2 separate regions of the Mus musculus genome follow, and region 1 is reported to be linked to region 2. Evidence: microRNA targets listed by miRTarBase, many of them from high-throughput screens and not tested one by one. Region 2 holds a microRNA gene; the other region holds the end of a gene's coding sequence.

The links. Region 2 holds the annotated microRNA mmu-miR-146a-3p (CCUGUGAAAUUCAGUUCUUCAG, at 1,919-1,940, opposite strand). A microRNA usually pairs through its seed, bases 2 to 8, with sites in the 3' UTR of a target mRNA and lowers its output. Matches are read on the target gene's strand: a 7mer-m8 pairs with bases 2 to 8, a 7mer-A1 pairs with bases 2 to 7 and ends in A, and an 8mer does both.
Region 1: miRTarBase lists Notch1 as a target of mmu-miR-146a-3p. The part of its 3' UTR that is shown has no 7-base or 8-base seed match.

What each region holds. Positions count from the first base shown.
Region 1 is chr2:26,454,977-26,460,049 of GRCm38, forward strand. It overlaps Notch1 (notch 1), which reads right to left. Exons shown (of 34, transcript NM_008714.3): 34 at 2,926-5,073. The coding sequence ends at 4,555. It overlaps 0610009E02Rik (RIKEN cDNA 0610009E02 gene), which reads left to right. Exons shown (of 3, transcript NR_152209.1): 2 at 2,697-2,804; 3 at 4,246-4,414. Among named protein-coding and RNA genes, the nearest start is that of 0610009E02Rik, 12 kb to the left of the region's middle.
Region 2 is chr11:43,372,481-43,377,553 of GRCm38, forward strand. It overlaps Mir146 (microRNA 146), which reads right to left and starts at 1,981; the gene lies at 1,917-1,981.

The DNA of each region.
Region 1 (5,073 bases), not on the chromosome of region 2:
GACTCACAGATTGTGGAATTCTAGCATTGACGGGTCTGGGACCTTCACAGTGCCATGCAGCCTTCTGCCTTAGACGTACACAGTGCTGGACTATCCATGCAAAGTCAAATGTATAGGCATTGTCAGTCATACCCATTTCCCTGGACCCAGGAATGGCCACTCTGTTCTCTGTCTTTGTGGCTTTACTTACTGAGGACATTTCATAAAGATGAAATCATGTGGTCATTTTTGAGATGTCTTTCACGAGCCCTGTGTCCTCCTGCAGCTCACCCACATGTTAGTAGGTCTCAGAGCTTTGTTCCTTCTAATGGCTGAAAAATACTCCACTGAATGTTTACTAGGGTAGATACAAAGAGAGGTTGTGGGGTTGGCAAGTCCCCAGAGCTGTACCTGGCAAGCTGGAGACCCAAGAACAGGCAATCTTTCCGTGGGAGCCTGGAGGGGAGAGGATTCATGTTCTGCCGCAGTAGGCAGGATCCATCCCCTCTTCCCTGACCTTTTGTTGTTTGGTCTCTCACTGGAGAAGATTTGCCCACATGGGTAGGCCCTTGCTTTGATCTGCAAACATCAATGTTTTTCACCCCGAACCCAGTCCAGATGTGTTCTCAGTGGTCCAGCCATCAGTTGTGAACCCTGGGCTGCACATGCCATTGTGGATGATGCTCTAGAGAACACCCAGGCATATGAGCCTGCTAAGCCCTTTCCGAGCTGACATTTCCATTCCGGATGGAATTTTGGAGATGCTAGTTCTCCGGGCAGAATTCAGGCTCCGACCTTCCCCTTGAGGGCAAGAATGAGACAAGTTATCACAATTCTGTGTGTGAGCACCCCTTCTGGGCCCCTGGGCCCCCTCCGCTTTCACAGTGTGCAACACTGAGCCGGGGCAAGACATCTGAACTTGATGGATTCACACTTGTCCTCAGATGTCAGGCTCAGAGAGGGCATCACATTCCCCATTGTCACTTTGGTTAGAGACTCCTGCTGTGCTCCAAGGTGTGGGCCAAATGGAGAGGCCTAGGCAGGTGTCTTAGTCAGGGTTTCTATTCCTGCACAAACATCATGAGCAAGAAACAAGTTGGGGAGGAAAGGGTTTATTCGGCTTACACTTCCATACTGCTGTTCATCACCAAGGAAGTCAGGACTGGAACTCAAGCAGGTCAGGGAGCAGGAACTGATGCAGAGGCCATGGAGGGATGTTCTTTACTGGCTTGGTTCCCCTGGCTTGCTCAGCTTGCTCTCTTATAGAACCCAAGACTACCAGCCCAGAGATGGTACCACCCACAAAGGGCCCTTCCCCCCTTGATCACTAAGAGAAAATGCCTTACAGCTGGATCTCGTGGAGGCATTTCCCCAACTGAAACTCCTTTCTTTGTGATAACTCCAGCTGTGTCAAGTTGACACAAAACTAGCCAGTACAGCAGGCCAAGGGAGATCCACACCTGTGCTATTATGATTTCTTCTTAGGGCTAAGATGCCTTTGTACCTGCTGGGCTCTCGGACTAGATGAGTGTTGCTAAAATTCCTTCCCAGGAAGAGACAACACTTAACCCTCCTCCTAAGGTCCTAGGCACCAAAGCTGACTAGGGCACCAATGGATTTGCAGCGCTGACAAGAGCAGAACATAGGTAAAGGGTTACTTACTGAGTCCACATTGGAACTCTTTACTTGTAGCTGTTTGTATTACAAATGTTAATGTTCCCCCGAACTGCACAGGAAGGTCTACACATAGCTTTTGGGAACCTGTCCCCAGTGGGTTCTGATTGGTAAATAAAGATACCAATAGCCAGTAGCTGGGGAGGACAGACAAGGTGGACCGTTTAGGACTCCTGGGCTTGAGACTTGAGGCAGTGGGAGAAGGGAGAGTTGGGGAGAGGAGAGATGCCATGCCTGGGAAGAGTGCAGGACAGAGAGGCAAGGCTACCACCTGAAGGAGCTGGGAGAGCATGGCCTAGAAGGCTGCCCAACTTGGTCTAGATCAGCCACGATAGAACATAGAATTAGTAAGCAGGAATTCAGAATGGGGAGACAGAGTCTTAGCAATATGGAGGCTAGGCAGCTACCCAGCTATTGTGCTGAATAAGACATAATAAAATATAAAGAAAGGTTGTGTGTCTTTCATAAACCATTGAGTTGGATAGTGACCTGCTGCCAGGATTTATTAAATGAATTTTTTTTTTTTTTTTTTTTTTTTTTTTTTTGGTTTTTCGAGACAGGGTTTCTCTGTATAGCCCTGGCTGTCCTGGAACTCACTCTGTAGACCAGGCTGGCCTCGAACTCATAAATCCACCTGCCTCTGCCTCCTGAGTGCTAGGATTAAAGGCGTGTGCCACCACGCCCAGCCTTTATTAAATGAATATTAATACAACATTTACCCAGCAGGGATAAGGCTTTCCTCACAGCCACATAGATGGAGTCTCTCCACTAGTCTTCCCAGACTATATACTCTAGTACCTCCCTGAGGTCATGCACAATTAGGGCAGGACTGCATACAACAAAGTGACTGGATCATCAGGCAAGGGTCCTTTGAGTCCCATGACCTTCCCAACTCTTTGAGGGGGTCTATAAGCAGTCAACAAGCACAGCTGGGATGACCTTTTGCAAGGCATGGCTGAATTTGAAGAGGTTGGGGGTTACTGGGCTCAGAGGATAGTCATCTATGACAACATAAGGTGCCTTCACTCCTCTGCTGCTCACAGGAATACAGCTGGCATCAATCAGATCCACATCCCTGAGAGGACTGCATCAACTCTTTTGGAAACTGTCTTCCCACCTTGATGCCCTGCGCTGTGCAGCTTCTGAAAATGGTGTGTCCTTATGGCAACCTCTGTATTTCTGTGTAAGAGAGGGTTTGGATTTGGTTATTTCAGTGCTGGGTGGCCCTTTCTCTGTCACACTCCCCAAAAAGTGAACCAAACCACACTCCAAGTTTAGCAAAATGTGGACAACCATCAGTATCATTTTTATTGCAAATTAGTTAACAAAAAAAGATGAAAAAAATACATCATTTTCATTACCTACAGTTTTGCATGTAGTTTTTTTTTTTTACGTTTCTTTTTTTTGTAAACTACACTTTATTTTATACAACACAGTAAGAATCAACATCTTAGGATGCGTCTGGTCATATCTATTAGGCATGGCACAGACACTGCCCCCCAAAAGGCCAGAAAGAGCTGCCCTGAGGAGGTGGGCAACTGCCCCCGAAAGCCCCCAGCACACAGTGGCTGGAAAGGGACTTGGTGGGCAGCAGATGGGCCATCCTGGGTTGTGCTCTTAGGAGCTACTGGTTCGGCAGCTACAGGTCACAAGGTCTGGGTCACACTGAGCTAAGCCACAGTCTGACAGTCCTCATCAGCTTGACACACGACACACTTGTTCCTTTAGATTTTTTAAACAAAATCCATCTTTAAACATGTATTTACAGATACTTATTCTGCCACAGGCGTATACTTGATACTGCAAGAATCTGCTGTGAGCACAGCCCTGAACCAGGAGGGGTGGCCCAGAAGCAGGCTCCACCCACATTCCAGCACACTCAAGGCATGTCCCCACCCAGGCCAGTTTGGGGATCAGAGGCCACATAGCTTCTGTTTTCTTGGAGTCTCAATGCAGGCTACTCTGGCGAGTCCACAATGCACATTGGAGCCCTTTGGCAGTCAGGTGTTAGGAGCCCAGGCCCAGGCCGGGACAGTCCGTCTGTCCTCAGTTGGATTTGGATGATGCTGTTTGGAGGGATGCACAGAACAGTCCAGGCAGTGTTTTCTCTAGGAGGCACCACACCCTGCATGGCTTACTGGCTCAAGTTGTCAGGAAGGGGACAGTGGGGCAGGGCAGGGGAGAAGTACTCCCAAGGCCCATAAACACTACTACAGAACACTGGAGCCTGCAGACTCACGACTGGTACTGGGTAGTAGACTCTGCACATGCTGAGGACACTTCTTCAAGTCCACACTGGTGGTTACAGAAAGTGTACAAACCACATCATCTGACTTGTTTCCTGTTTTAGATACAAAACTAATCCATGAACCCAAGGTTCAAGGTCTGGGCGTGTTTCTAAACACATCTGCAAATCCCAGGTGACGCTGGGGGGAGGGGCAGTGAGTGTGGGGGAGGGGCAATTCTGGCCATGGCAGTTTCCAGCTTCCCTTCTCCTGTCACGTTCTTTTTTCTTTCTTTTCGATTTTGGAAAGAAGCAATCAATAAATAAACAGCATTTACAAATCATGAATCCTTGTTCATATTTTACAGACACACAGGGAACTTCACCCTGACCAGGAAAATCAAGGCTCTGAGAACTAGTTTATTTTCTTGGAACAGATATGTTTTTCCCTAGTGCCATAGAAAACAATACATATAAATAAAAAGGCAGTGTTTCTGTGGAAAATAAAAGTACATAAATAAATACTAAAAAAAAAAATGGAAATTCTTGTCCTCTTATTTTGTATAAAAACATTTTTTAAAAGGCTCCTTTGGTCGCCCCAGCATCCTGAAGCACTGGAAAGGACTCCCAACAGGGCTTGGGAACGGAAGCTGGGGTCCTGCATCCCACATCTCTGTTTATTTAAATGCCTCTGGAATGTGGGTGATCTGGGACGGCATGGTGGTGGGCGGGCTGGAGATGCCCTCGGACCAATCAGAGATGTTGGAATGCGGGGAGGAGCTGGACCACTGGTCAGGGGACTCAGGGGATGGGGTGAGGAAGGGGTGCTCTGGCACCTGCAGCTGGTGGCTGGGGGTGTTGTCCACAGGGGAGGAGGAGTAACTGTGCTGGGAAGGAGGGGTCAGGAACTGGGTAGTGGTCATGGGTGGGACCATGGAGGATGGCAGTGATGTGGGCAGGGCCTGGCTTTCCTGGGGCAGAATGGTGTGCACAGGCAGACTGCTGGGGCCCAGCGGTTGTACATCTGCCTGACTGGGCTCCCCACTCAAGAAGCTCCGGCCCAGGTGCCCATTGGCTGCCGAGCTCACACTGAGGTGTGGCTGTGATGGTGGCTGCAGGTTCTGAGGCTGGAGCTGTAAGTTCTGTGGCTGCACCTGCTGGGTCTGCACCAGGTGAGGCTGTGTTGCCAGCCGTGT
Region 2 (5,073 bases):
TGTGAGGTGATTAAGTTAATTGATGTAAGAAGAGCCACCATAAAGTAGGGTGGCACCCTTCCCTGGGTAGTGTCCTGGACTTCATGCAAAGGAGAAAGTGAGCTGTGCGCATCTGCTGCTCTCCACGGCTTGTCTGCCGAGGTCATGTGGCCAGCAGCTCTCAAGCTTCTCATGCTATGACTTCCTCCATGATGAACAATACCCTTGAACTGTGAGCCAAAATCAACCATTATTTTTGCCAGGCCATTTTATCATAATAACAGGGGAAAAAATCCTTTTGTTGATGTGTCTATATTATGGAGATGAGGCTTGGTAAGATTCACTGAGATCGTATAGGCAAAGCCCTGGATTTAGGAGTCGATGCACAGTAAACACCTACGTTCCTCAGTTGAAAGACTGAGCATGTGGGTGCTGTACAGTCCCCCATCTCATGCTACCTCCCTCTCTTTTCATTCAGAGACAAGAGTAAGAAGGAAATCCCAGGACACCAAGACGTAGTGATGAGTCAAAGAGGAGTTCCCAAAGCACAGGGCACATTCCTAATTCCCCACTAATTCAAAAGCTTAATAAAGTCCAGATAATCAGCAGCAGCAAATCAAGCCCAACTCTCAGAAGAGACCCAACATGCTTGGTGACAGAGGTCTTTATTGCCTCTCTACAAGGACCTGAGCCCCATCATTTAATAGACTATATGTCCAAATAGACTTTCTAAGGCTTCTTAATCCTCATCCCTGGAAGAAACTGTCAGTTACAGTGGAGTGTAATTACAACTTCTTTTGTCTTGTTTGGAGGTACAAAAGAACACTCTACCCCTTGTTTGCTTAAAGTAGGCAAGAAAGCACAGGTTCAAATAAAAGGGATGAGGGGCTATAAGAAGGATGTGTTCTTTATCCTTTTTTGCTACATATCTGAAAAAGCAGCCAAACACCTCAGCAGACCATGCTAAAGGATAATTGCCACATACAATTAATTCCATCTGGTCCCATAAAGAGACTGGGAAATCACTGCTTGGCAATCCTGTGTCTCTCAAGCTTCATTAAAGTGGTGTTTCCCATGAGTCTCCTATAACAGCATGCATAGCACTTAGTCCCCTTCATACCTGACTCATCCTAAATCATGGAAATGTAAACAAGAGTCACAGCAGCAAGAACCACTCAGTGAGGCTATTTATAGGATGCTTCGCTTTTCCCAACCGGAGGAGGAATTGCCATACTATATTGCTTAGCACTGTCAACCTGACACAATCTTGGATCATTTAGAAAGAGTGTTAGTGAGGGATCATCTCGATCAGGTTGACCTATGTATATCTGTGGATGGATATATTGATTATATTAATTGGCATAGGAAGATCCAAGCCCACTGTAGGCAGCATCATTCCCTAGGCAGGTGATCCTAGACTCTTTAAGTGTAGAGAGGGGGTCAAGTACAAGTAAGCATATATATTTTTTCTCTATTTTTTTCCTCTTTGTTGAGACACAATCTCACTATATAGCTCTGGCTAGCCTGGAACTTGCTCTGTACATCAGGCTGGCCTACCAGAGAGCCACCTGCCTCTGCTTCCAAATTTCTTGGAGTGAAGGTATGTGCCACAATGTTTGGCTCTCTTTTTCTTCTTGACGATGTATGAGACGAGCTGCTTCAAGTTCCTACTTTGTCTTCCCTATAATGATCAGCTGTGACCTGGAATTATAATCTAATAAACCCTTTCTCCCCTAAATTGTTTTTGTCAAGATATTTTATCAGAGCAACAGAAATGAAATTAGAACACACATCAATCCAACATGACTCCCTCCGGTGCCAGCAGTTCCACGCTTCACCCCACTCTCTCCACTCTTCAAGTTCCTTGGCAGACTATGAAGGCCTTCAGAGTTTGTTCCAACCAGTGTTCTTCAGGTCCGTGATGACAGAGCTATCCCAGCTGAAGAACTGAATTTCACAGGTCTGACATTGATATAACCCATGGAATTCAGTTCTCAGAGCTGGGGATACACACAGACTCTCCAGATGAGGCCTTCCTCCCAGGCCAGATCCTGCCAGCCCTGTAAAAACACAAGAGAAATCTCTGATAAATCCAAAAGCACGGCCTCTGCAGACTGGACACTCTTGATGCATAAGGATCTGGGACACAAGATAGGCAAGTTCATAAGCAATCATTAAACATGCTGGGCATGTGGTGCAAGCCTGTAATCTCAACATTCATGAGCCTGCAGCAGGAGAAATGTCAGTTTGAGGCCACCCCATAATCCCAGCGAAGAAGAAGGTGCATCAAGAGGACTGCTGGTCCAAGGGCAGCCTGAAGTACGTAGCAAGATTTTCTCAAAAGCAATCAGGAACATGACAGATGGTCTTTCCGTCCCCACTGTGCCCTCATACATGTGCCCCTGGCCTGGAAAACTGCCCTCAACGCCTATTCCTCCTGAGGCTCTCACCTACTGAATCACCTCCTCAGCAAGACCATCAATAGCAGAGATGACTGGATTGTCACCCTGTGTCTCTTCTGTGTTCACCGAACCCACCACCCCTCCCCCCCACACACCGTGTACACACACTCCTGGCACAAAGGCCCCATTTCCTAGAGTGACCCAGTTCTACATGGAGACAGAGCGCACAGTACAGCTGCACCCACACCATGCAATGTGGGCCATGCACCACCCATGATAGGGCAGGGCATGGCACTAGATGATCTTTGAAACTGTATTTCTTCACGTCAGCAAGAGCAGGACCTTCCCCTTTTCAAGCCACTGCTATTTAGGCATCTGTTAGAATCATTGAGTGTAATAGCCTCACTAATACCTCGTCTCCGTTCCCCAGTGATACCTGCCATTCTCCTGTGTCATGTTCAATCCTTCCCTTCATAGTTATAAACTAATTGATAGAGCCTTTGATGTCATTGTTGATAAATACTATCTCCCAAACAAGACTATATTTTCACAGGGGCAGAGCCCATGCTAGTGCTTTTTTTTGAAAGTATATAAACAACAGCTCGGCAAAATGGAGCATTCCTGTAACCCTAGCACTCTTGAGGTTAAGGCAGGAGGATTTCTGTGAGTTCAAGGTCATCCTGGGTAGCATTATGGGTTCCAGACCAACTAGCATTATAGAGTAAGTCTCTGAACAAAAGACCCCCCTACAACAACAAGTAATTTTTTTTAAATAATTGTAACTGTTTCTTTGAAATAGAACTCACGACTATACAATTTACCTACTCATAAAGGATAAAACTCAATGGCTTTCAATATTACCATGAAGTTGTTTGATAGCCACCATAGTTAATCTAAGAATGTTTTAATCATCCCTAAACTACATGCTAATCACATTTACTCCTGACTTCTATACCCGACCTCTAGGCCATGTAAATACATATTATTTCCACTTTTCCTAAATATTTATTTTTTATTGTTTATTTTAAGTATGTGTAAGTGTGTGTGTGTGTGTGTGTGTGTGTGTGTGTGTGTGTACATGAATGCAGGTGGCAAAGGAGGCTACAGAGTCCCCCTAGAGCTAGATTTACAAGTTGTTGTGAGCCACCAACATGGGTTCTGGGGAGCAAACTTGGCACCTCTGCAAGAACAGTCTGTGCTTTTAAACACAGCCCCCTCTCCAGCCCACCTCTGCTCTATCTCAACTACAAATGCTTCTAGGGCCATTCCCAGCTCTGTGCTGATAGATGCTGTCATTTCTCTTGACTCTGTAACTCAGAGTAGATGGTGGGGTTCCATTACATCCATGTCTCTTTAGAGAACTCTCACACTCTCCACTAAAGCTGCTCCACCATTTGACATTTCCTCCGCCAGGGTCTGGGGGTTCCTTTCTCCACAGCCTTGCTATATGGCCTGACTTTTTGATTGTAGTTCTCCCAGCAGGTACAAAGCGGTGCCTCACTGTGGTTTTGATTTGCCTCTCCCTGGTGGCTAATGAGGTTGCGCACCTTTTCATCTATTTACTGCATTTGCACAGCTACTTTGTTCAGACAAAAAAAAAAAATTCACATATTTTGCAACTTCTAAACTGGGCTGTTTGTCTTTTTATCATTAAATTATAAGAATTATATTCTAGATATATCATATGATTCATATTTCCAGGGGGGGTTCTGACCCTATAAGCTCACTTTTAACTTTTTTCATGTCGGAGTAGGGAGTAGGTGTTGGTTCCATAATATTATTTCCAGCTTCTAGAACACACTTGGATCATAGACACAGTCCAGAAATTTTTTTTCAAGAAAGGAGACAGAGTAAATGCTATCCTGGGTTCTTAAATTCATTTTCCTACACCCTCATTCCCATGGTGTGCATCAAAGTGAGATGAGTCACCTTCATTTGTGCCCATTTCATTTTTTATTTTCCAGCCTGTGTGCCTTCACAAAGCTCCTGTGTGAGCCAGACTCCAAAGATGAAAGATGGTATCATCTAATTCCTTCTCTTTGGCAGCTTTATGAGCATATGAGACTTGAGCAGGTAGGATGCCTCCCACAGCATGCCAAGTGCCCTAGGAGGGGACCATGATGCACTTTGAAAAGCCAATCGCATTGATCCAGCGACAGCTCTCCCTCCACCTCCACCGGCTCATCACTCACCCACAGAGTACCGGAGAGGTGAGGCCAGATGCTGGGGATGCAGCAAGACCAAGGCTGCCAGGCCTTTGCCCCACCCTCGTGAGATCTCACAGAGAGCCATACCAACAATCAGGTTCACTCGTGATATGTGCCTCCAATGAAAGCCTGAAGATGCTCTGAAGAGCCAAGGCTCCCAAAGACCAACACTGAAGGAGATGCCCTGAGGTAAGTACACTGTGGTCTGTACAAAACAGTCAAAAGGAAAGATGCATAATATGGAAAGTCTGATAGGATGTGGCCCACATACTTCTAGATGAGAGCAGACCAAGGGAGGCTCGGGCAAACCATCCCGGCCAGCCTTGCCTGGGACCTCAGGGCTCCTCTACAGAATGTGGGGAGAAGTGTGATCTGACTGCATGACTCAAGTATTCCAGCTCAGCTTGATGTACAGCTAGAAAATATGAAATCGTCCTAAATAGCCATCGACTAATCCTACAATGTAACTCTGACAGGATCTCCAA